2 linked regions of the Ovis aries genome follow. The protein of the gene in region 1 purifies or fractionates together with the protein of each later gene. This does not show direct contact. Links are inferred from orthologs where the notes say so. Each region holds a gene or a part of one and is shown on either strand. Other genes may lie near its edges. The genes, in order: MYL6 and IQGAP1.

Region 1 (4,463 bases):
TCATGGGAGCTGAGCTCAGACATGTCCTCACCACCCTGGGTGAGACAGGGACCAGAACTCCTGGGGGTGTTGAGAGGAGGGGATGAACTAAGAAGGTTAGCCAAGTAAGCAGAGCCAGTGAGGGATTACTGTCCTATGGGTCATGGGCAGGAGACTGAGAAGGTCAGAGCCTTAGGGACAGGATCTGAAGGTCTTCCTCCTTCAGTCTAAAGTGAGTGGGCTGCAGCTGTCTCCCAAAGGGCAGAGGAAAGGGAACGAGGTGGGAAATCTGAGTTTCAGTCTTAGGAAGAGATGGCTGTACTCTATGATATGGTCTGTTTTTTAATCCTCTGGAATTCAGTTTCCTTGTCTGTCAAAGCTTTCACCACCTATAATTGAGGTGAAATGGAAAGCAAGATTCAGAGACACATTCAAGGCATGCCCACTACAAAGAGGGAATTCTCTTGGGGGACTGTTACTATGGGCAAGTCTCCAGGGTGGGAGAAGAGGAGGTGCCACCAGAAGAAAGAGGCATGGGTTGATAAGGGAGGGAAGGCAGGGGCTAAAACACTGTGTCTGGGCCCAGGAGAGAGGATGACTGAAGAGGAGGTGGAGTCTGTTTTGGCAGGACATGAGGACAGCAGTGGCTGCATCAACTATGAAGGTGAGGGGCCAGAGGAGCAGAAACGACTGGGGAAGAGGGAGGCAGGAGGCCCGAGGTATGTGGGTGGAGGCATCCTGAAGCCTGAATTATCTAAAGTCAGATGGGTTATCATCAGGCCAGCTTCTGAAGCCCCTCTTGCCTCTTCTCTCTGCAGCCTTCCTGAAGCACATCCTAAGCGTCTGAGCAATGCAGGTACGGCACTCTCACTGCGCCTTGGGAGGCAAGCCTCCTTCTTGTCCCTCTGCCTGCGTACAAAAGCAAGGAAGTGCATTTCCGTGTCTTGCTGCGCCGACAGCGGCAGGATTTGGCAACGTTCATCTTTTTCCACAGGTGCAGTGGCGTCGGACGCTGGGCTCCCACCAGGCAAAAGCACGTTCCTGCCACTAGGAGGCTATTGTTTCAAAATAAAGAGACGTTTCCTCCCTTAGCTTCCGACTCTTGCTTTCTTTAGAGGTGGGGGAGGGAAAGGGAGGGCTCCTCTTCCCACCCGCACCCACCAATGCGACCTCCTCTGACTTTCTCGCTGCTCGGAGGAGCAGATTCCTTGCGCCCCATTCCACCTTGTTCTGCAGTTTCTGTGCCCCAGGTAGGGCTATTCTGGAGACTTGAACACCAGTTGGCCCCCGCCCACTTTATTACTAATATAGTAGCGTCATCTGCATAAACCCGGGCCAGGATCCCTATTGGTTGGGTCAGCTGGGGTGACGTCATTAGGACGTACTAAGACTAGGGTTGGGCCAGGAACCGGAGCCATTACTGCAGGAAAAGGTCCCGTAGAGCTGAGCGTCAAGATGGTGGGGCCCGGGGCCGAGAGGATGAGCGGGATTTGGGGCGAAAGGCGGGAAGCCGGGGAGAGGGGGCGGGGAGAAGGCAGAGAGTAGCGGGTAAATGAACCTGAGGCCCTCGAAGGTTGGAGGTGGGGTTGGAGTGTCTGGGATCCTACCCTGCTGGGAAGCGAGTCCCCAGCATGGAATAGGAGTTTGTGATTCAGAGTTCTTGGGACTGGGACGGAAGCTGGGGGTATTGGAGTTAAGATGCTGACCACTCTCGTCTTCTCTGAGCAGTGTGACTTCACCGAGGATCAGACCGCAGGTAGGTAATCGCTGACCTCTGTTGAGGTCATGTTAGGGAGAGGGACACTCCCTCTAGCTCTTTCACCCTCACCTGTCATCTCTTTAGCACCCCCAGGGGAGTACCTGGTGGGTTCCCTTCTCCTTCCTTCTGGATCTTCCATTTTCTTTTCTCACTCTTTCTTCCTCCCTTCCCTTCTACTCTAGATCTGATCCCCAAGCACTGGGTGAGTTTTAGGTGATGTGGCTGTGTGAAACAACTTGATCACTAATGCCTGCTGTGTGTGGGGCTTGGGGACGGTGTATTAAGCTGTTTGTGCTCCTGTGTTCCTTAATCAGCTACTTCTGCCTCTTTTCCTCCTGTGGTAACTACCCTGTCCCCTCAGCTTGGAATTGTAAAGGCTGTAAACAGCAGTGACCTGTTTTTTTGTGAAAGTGCAACAGGGGAGTTTGCTGAGGATACTTCTTTGTAGCAGTACCCTCTGAAAGGACCCTGTACTAGAGGGGTGAGAAGTGGCAGGCTGGGATGACCCCAGTCCCAGGCCGCTGCTCCCACTTCCTTATAAGGACAGGGCCCAGACAGGGCGGTGGCAAATTCCTGCCCTGAGTCGTGTAATGAGGAGGCTGGGCAGGCTTGCTGCAGGCGGAGAGGGTATGTAAGTGGCCGGAACCACTCTGCTAAGCGTTGAGGAAGGCCAGGTCTTTATGTGAGACACCTGAGTTGGGAGGAAGGGACACTGGATCCCTCTTACAGGGGTTGGGTGTACAGTGTTATAAATATCTGATTTCCTCAGCATGATCAAAGTTGAATGGGCGGTGGGGACCATGGAGGAGGGTTTGGGTTAACATCTGTGTGTCCCATACTGATGTTTATCTGGATCCTCAGAGTTCAAGGAGGCCTTCCAGCTGTTTGACCGAACGGGGGATGGCAAGATCCTGTACAGTCAGTGTGGGGACGTGATGAGGGCCCTGGGCCAGAATCCCACCAACGCCGAGGTGCTCAAAGTCCTGGGGAACCCCAAGAGTGATGGTGAGGGTCCTTAAGAACAACTCTGCACTGTGGTGGGGCCCGCAGTCTTCAGCTAATAGCTTCCTTTTATCTTCCTAGGCCCCAAACACGAGCGGGTCTTGTCTGGCAAATCCCACAGATTTCTCCTGCCTGGAGTGGGAGCCCCTTAACCCCCAGTCCTGAGAACACATATGACTTAGCTTCCACCTCCTTTTCGGCAGAGATGAACGTGAAGGTACTGGACTTTGAGCACTTCCTACCCATGCTGCAGACTGTGGCCAAGAACAAGGACCAGGGCACCTATGAGGACTATGTTGAAGGCCTTCGGGTGTTTGACAAGGAAGGGAACGGCACCGTCATGGGTGCTGAGATCCGGCACGTTCTCGTCACACTGGGTGAGGCTCTGCCCTTTCTTCTTGAGGTGCCACCTGAGAGACCTCGGTGTCACCCAAATCCAGAATGCTCGCTCTTCCTTCCTCTCTGCAGGTGAGAAGATGACAGAGGAAGAAGTAGAGATGCTGGTGGCAGGGCATGAGGACAGCAATGGCTGTATCAACTATGAAGGTGAGGGATGAACCGGCGGTCTCACGGAGGAAGCAGCCATATGGGGGCAGGTCATGCACCGCACTGAGGGCTTTCCCTGTCCCTGGATTCAGGCTCCTAAAAGTGACAGGAGGCAAGGGGCAGGGCCCAGCCCCGCCCAGGAATGGGAGGCCAGAGGGGTGTGACAGGAAAGGAAGGGCTCCTGTGGCCTGAAGGGTGGGAAAGGGATGGGAAGTAAAAATGGATGTCCAGTTCCTCACTGCCTGACCCCTTCACCCCACGTCTATGTCTTGTCTTCACCATGAATGTCTCTTCCTTCCTGCAGCGTTTGTGAGGCATATCCTGTCGGGGTGACGGGCCCATGGGGCGGGTACGGCTCCTCCCAGCCCCCCTTCTCTAGTTGACCTCCCCAGTGTTTTTTTCCCCAGCCTCTGCTCTCTAGCCCCTGCCTTCCTCTACTACCATCTGACTTCTTCCCGGCATGCCTCTGCATGGAGCTGACTGGGGAGGGGAGGGGTTCCTCAAAGAGGCAGACAGCCTGGGGGTGTGGCACCTCCTCCTCTCCTAGAACTGGGTCTGAGGTTTGGTTGGCTTCCAGGGTGCTGGTGTCTGGGAACTCACACCAGCCTACCTACCCCCGTCTGGCTTCATGGTGATCCTTTAGCTCAGGATCACGTGGTTGGCAGGGAGGGTGGGTTGCCTGCCCCACCGTGCTGCTGTAGGTCTTCTCTTCTTTCCGCTGGGCAGCTTGGAGATACCCTAACCCAAAACTCTGTCTCCTCCTCCCCCCAGTGGCTGACAGTAGCTGTAGGTGTAGTTGGGAACTCTTCTGCCTCTGCTGTGTTCTTGCTGCTCGGGGTGGGGCAGGGGGAACTAACAGCTGGTGGGAGGGGAGCTGGGGGTCGAGAGTACTGCAAACTGACCCCAAGGTTGGTTGTCGTGGGCACATTCCTTCCTACGCTGCCTTTGTGGTCTGTGGTCTCCTGGCCCCTGGCGGACCCCTCCCCTTCGCCCTGCTTCCTGTTCACCCCCCTCTCCTTTCCACAGAGCTCGTCCGCATGGTGCTGAATGGCTGAGGATATTCCCAGTGTGCGTGGACACTGCACCTTCCTTGTGGGAGATTGTGTATGTAGCCCAGAGGCTTCCTAGGTTCTCTTGTCACAGTATTTTCCCCAGATTCTCTCTCTTGGATGATGTC
Region 2 (4,488 bases), on another chromosome or scaffold:
AGAGGTTGAGTCCTTGGGGCTGGATTTTTAAATTATATTTCATAAATCCAGATAATCTTAATCTTATAGTTATCCTATATTAGACTTTTTGTCAATTAACAGTGCCTAATTCTGCCAATGTAGGAGATGCCCGCTAGGGTCCTGGGTGGGGAAGATCCCCTGGAGGAGGAAATGGAAACTCACTCCAGTATTTTTGCCTGGAGAATTCCATGGACAGAGGAACCTGGTAGGCTACAGTCCATAGGGTCACAAAGAGTCGGACAAGACTGAGCGACTGGGCATACACAATAGGGATTATAACAGGAGCAGGGTCAGGGTTCGGCCGGTTAAAGTTTCTGCGGGATTCATAGGTTAAAATGTCCATTGAAGTGAAGTCACTCAGTCGTGTCCGCCTCTTTGTGACCCCATGGACGGTAACCTACCAGGCTCCGTGGTCCATGGGATTTTCCAGGCAAGAATACTGGAGTAGGTTGCCATTTCCTTCTCCAGGGGATCTTCCCAACCCAGGGATCGAACCTGGATCTCCTGCACTGCAGACAGACGCTTTACCGTCTGAGCCACATTACACAGCCGAAAATACTGAACTGGGGCTTCTAGGAAGTCTGATCTGAGATACAAATTTACGACTCTTCAGCAATTTAAGGTGAACGTGCATAAAGTTATTCAGAAAAAAGTGGGCAAGGGAAAAAACGGAAGAGTGCTGAGGCCAGAATTCCGTTGCATACCAATATTTTAAGGGCAGGCCACAAGTTGCAAGGAGAGGAGGCACTCCTAAAAAGGTAAAGAGTCCCCTAAAAAGAAGAACTTGCAAAAAACAGTGGCAATGAATCTAGCGGGAAGGAGATCTGGACAAACACAACTCTCCTGCTTTAGCATCCACTTCTCAGATACTAGAGGGGTTAAGCAGTTCAACTCCGGCGACAGCTGGCGAAGCTGGGAGACTTGTCTCGACTGCCAGCCTGTGCGGCCCCTTAGGGCAGTCTGGGTCCTGCATGTGTCCACAGGAACACACTGGGCCACTTCAAAGGAGGCCTTCCTTGAGCCCTTTGGTGCAGAAGAGTTTGATTAGGCGGGAAGGGGAACGGAAGATGCCCACGTTTTTTATGTCAGGCTACAGACACTGGCGGCATTTTGATAAGTGGCGCGGATCGGGCGGCGGCCGGGGAGGGCAAAGATCCAGGGCCGGGGCTGGTCTTCTCCGTCCAGAAGAGCTGCCAGCGAGAAGGGTCGGCGGGCAGGCTCCTCCTTCTTCCTTCCGCCTCCAGAGGGCTTTTTGGGTGCAGGGAGGGGGCCGGGGGCGGAGCCGGGAGGCACAGGCCCTGCCTCCTTCCGCCCTCTCCCGTCGGCGCGGCAGGGCGGGGACGCTGGGGCGGGGCCCGCGGGTGGGGCCGGCGGCGCGGGGCGGAGCCTCGGGGACCTGGGCAGCCCGCGCACTGTGCAGTAGCTGCCGCCGCCGCCGCCCGCGCCTCTAAGGTCTCTCCGCTTCCTGAGCAGAGACCCGGGCTCGGCCGCCATGTCCTCCACGGACGAGGTTGACGGACTGGGCGTGGCTCGGCCGCACTATGGCTGTGAGTGTGGGCTCCGCGGCGCAGGGGTCCCGGGGCGGGCTCGCCGTCCCCCCGGCGCCGTTTTCCCGGGGGGCTGGCCTGGCGGGTGGGACAGGGCGGCTGTGGGCCGTGCGGACCCGGAAGAGCCGATGCGACGGGGTGGCGGGTGGCGAGGCTCCCAGCCCGCGCCCCCTCGGTGTCCGAGGCGGCGGGGAGGACCCCGGCCGCCCCCACGCCTGGTCCCGGGCGCTGCGGCCGGAGGGCCCCACCCAGCGCCTCCCGCCGCCCAGCTCGACCGAGATTGGGGAGACGGCCTAGGGTGAGGTGGCAGGAGGACGGTGCAGGGCGTGTCCCGGGAACCGGAGCCCCGAGACGCGGGCTCTGCTCGGGCTTCGCGGGAAGGCGCTGCCCGAGCGCTGCCTGCGGGTACATCCAGGGTCCAGACCTGCCCGGCCCCAGGCTAGCTGAGAGGTGCGGCCCTGGGCAAGTCACTTCAGCTTTCTCGGGCTTAGTTCCCTCGACAGGATTTCAAAAGTGAAGACACAAAAAAGAAAAAAAGAAACATACCTCTGACTTCCTCATTTTCCGAATCTCATTTTCTGTCCCTGTCCTGGGACATCACTGAACTGCAGGTGGAATAGTTACCGCTGGCCAAAGGAGGGCCTTTTGGAGTCTTGAGGTTCCCGATTTTATTTGATATTCTGAGAATAGTGTTTTAGGCTAATTTCACTCGACAGTTCTGTGCCAGGTATTACGTCAAATTTGTGACATTAAAGCTGAGTAAGACCAGACCCTGCTTTCAAAGAACGTTTTAATTAGGGAGGCAGACAGGTGTAACTATCTAATGATAATAAGGAGGGATAGAGATAAAGGTGTCCTGTGAACCAACCAGGCTTAAAAGGTAATGTGGATGAAGAAGAGGGGTTTAGGGAAGGCAGTAGGAACACAGTTGGAACATTTGAACAGAGCCTTGCAGGATGCTGTGCAGTTTGACAGGGCAGGGTGGGGCAAGGCATGAGGGTGAAGCGGAAGAGAGTGAACTAAGTTATGGAAGAGAAGAGCGCTGTGTGTGTTGGCTCCTGAGTTGTGTGGAGTACACAGTAGTGTGGGGGGAAGAGTTAGCAAAAGTAGTTGCCGCTAAATTGGGAAAGGCATTGAATGCCAACCCCAATTAGGCATTTAGCACTTAGGCATTTTTTCTGTTTCCTGGATGCCCAAAAAGAAAGCAGGTTGCTTTGAAGTTAATCTTAGGGGCTTTTGAGACAGACCACCTGGGTTTGAATATAGGCTCCATCATTTATTAGCCTTGGGGCAAAGATCATGGAGCCTCAGTTTCCTCATTTGTAAAACATTTGATAATCACAGGATTGTTGTGGGGCTTCCATGGGAGAATGCATGTAAAAAGCACAGTACAATCACTGCCACTTAGGTCTCAGTGACTGCTGGCTTTAGTGATTAATAAAAAAGTGAAAAAGCACAAAGTGCTCTGGATTGAGAGTCTGGCAGATAGATTAGCGCAAATTTGGACCAAAATCTCAAGTCATATAGTACATATAGTACATGTTCATAATATTGGGGGCTTCCCAGGTTGCTCACCAGGTAGAGTCCACCTGCCAATGTAGGAGACATGGGTTCGATCCTCTGGGTCAGGAAGAGCCCCTGGAGAAGGAAATGGCAACCCATTTCAGTATTATTGCCTAGAGAATCCCATGGACAGAGGAGGCTGGTGGGCTACAGTCCCTGAGGTTGAAAGAGGGACAAGAGGGACAACTTAGCAACTGAACAACTGTAACAACTGTACAATATGTTATTGTATTTAAAAGTAAAATAATATTGTACTTTTAAATAGATACTAAGATGAGTATATAACAGTTGAAAAATGGTTCCTATCTAAGGAAAGTCATTATAGTCCACCTGGCTATCCACACGTTACCCTAACTCTCCAGGTGACCAGCAGGAATTTGATGCTGTGGCATTCTTTGATAGCTCAGGAAGGGTTACAGATTCTTGCGCTTACATTCTTTCTTTCATGTTTTAGCTGTCCTGGATAATGAGAGACTTACTGCAGAGGAGATGGATGAGAGGAGACGTCAGAATGTGGCCTACGAATACCTTTGTCATTTGGAAGAAGCAAAGAGGTAAAGATTGGCTGGAGAGAAGACTGGGAGAAAGGAGCTGATACTGTGTGAACAAAGATAAAGATCTCGTTGAGTATGTAGATGCGACTGTGGGAGGCAGGTTGTTTGAAGGAATAAGTAAGTATAGCTAGGATATTTTTTTCATAGGAGCAAGTAGCCTTGATGGTAGTTTTATCATGAAACAGTCTGATGGGCACTTTTGTTCAGTTTCTAAGTCATGTCCAGTGGGCGCTTACGTATACTGAAAATTTTCCTGGTTTGTGTTGTTCGGTTTTATGCTTATGGTGCATGTTTTGGGCACTACCAGCTATATGGGAGAAAAGCATTTTTAAGGTTTCAAGTTTGGGGCCTTAATGTTTCGCTGGTTCTTTACTAATTTTGCTTTATATGTGAATTGGGTCCGTTTTCCCCTTGGTAGTGCTCTGGGTGTAGCTCCATCCATTTGGCAATATTCAAAGACTGTTTACCAAAGGCAGTGTCATCTGCATTCTTCGTGAAGTTAATGTGCAACTGCTGTTTTCCATTTTCAGATGCTCCAAGACCTTGTGGTCTTAGGGTGTCAATTTACTATCAGTGGTTCATTTCTTTTGTTCTGGTGCTTGTTTTTTGTTTTTGTTTTTTGCAAGATTGCCGGGTAGATAGATGTAATTACAGATCATGTATCCTATAAGTGAGCTTTGGTGGAAAAGGCCAGCAAGGGAAAATGAGAGGTTTTGTGGTTAAAGTCTAATGAAAATCCAGGATGTTTCAAAGGGTGCTAATAAACAAGAGTTTTTTGTCTTGTTTTGTCTTTTTAATTTTGA

The links.
Region 2: the proteins of MYL6 (region 1) and IQGAP1 purify together in Homo sapiens (affinity purification with mass spectrometry; 4 studies listed by BioGRID and IntAct, counting the BioPlex papers as one, with this or other methods). This does not show direct contact. The link is inferred for Ovis aries from reciprocal best matches to the Homo sapiens genes MYL6 and IQGAP1.

Annotation. Positions count from the first base shown.
Region 1 is NC_056056.1:163,379,212-163,383,674, reverse strand, and holds the start of MYL6 (myosin light polypeptide 6), read left to right. Parts: upstream 1-1,395; 5' UTR 1,396-1,434; coding exon 1,435-1,437; intron 1,438-1,707; coding exon 1,708-1,735; intron 1,736-2,599; coding exon 2,600-2,743; intron 2,744-2,943; coding exon 2,944-3,117; intron 3,118-3,208; coding exon 3,209-3,286; intron 3,287-3,590; coding exon 3,591-3,619; 3' UTR 3,620-4,312; coding exon of another isoform or gene 4,313-4,341; 3' UTR 4,342-4,463. Other genes in the region: MYL6B (myosin light chain 6B), read left to right, coding at 1-39, 566-643, 798-826. UniProt on the Homo sapiens protein: Regulatory light chain of myosin. Does not bind calcium.
Region 2 is NC_056071.1:21,521,273-21,525,760, reverse strand, and holds the start of IQGAP1 (ras GTPase-activating-like protein IQGAP1), read left to right. Parts: upstream 1-1,412; 5' UTR 1,413-1,513; coding exon 1,514-1,568; intron 1,569-3,585; coding exon 3,586-3,685; intron 3,686-4,488. UniProt on the Homo sapiens protein: Plays a crucial role in regulating the dynamics and assembly of the actin cytoskeleton.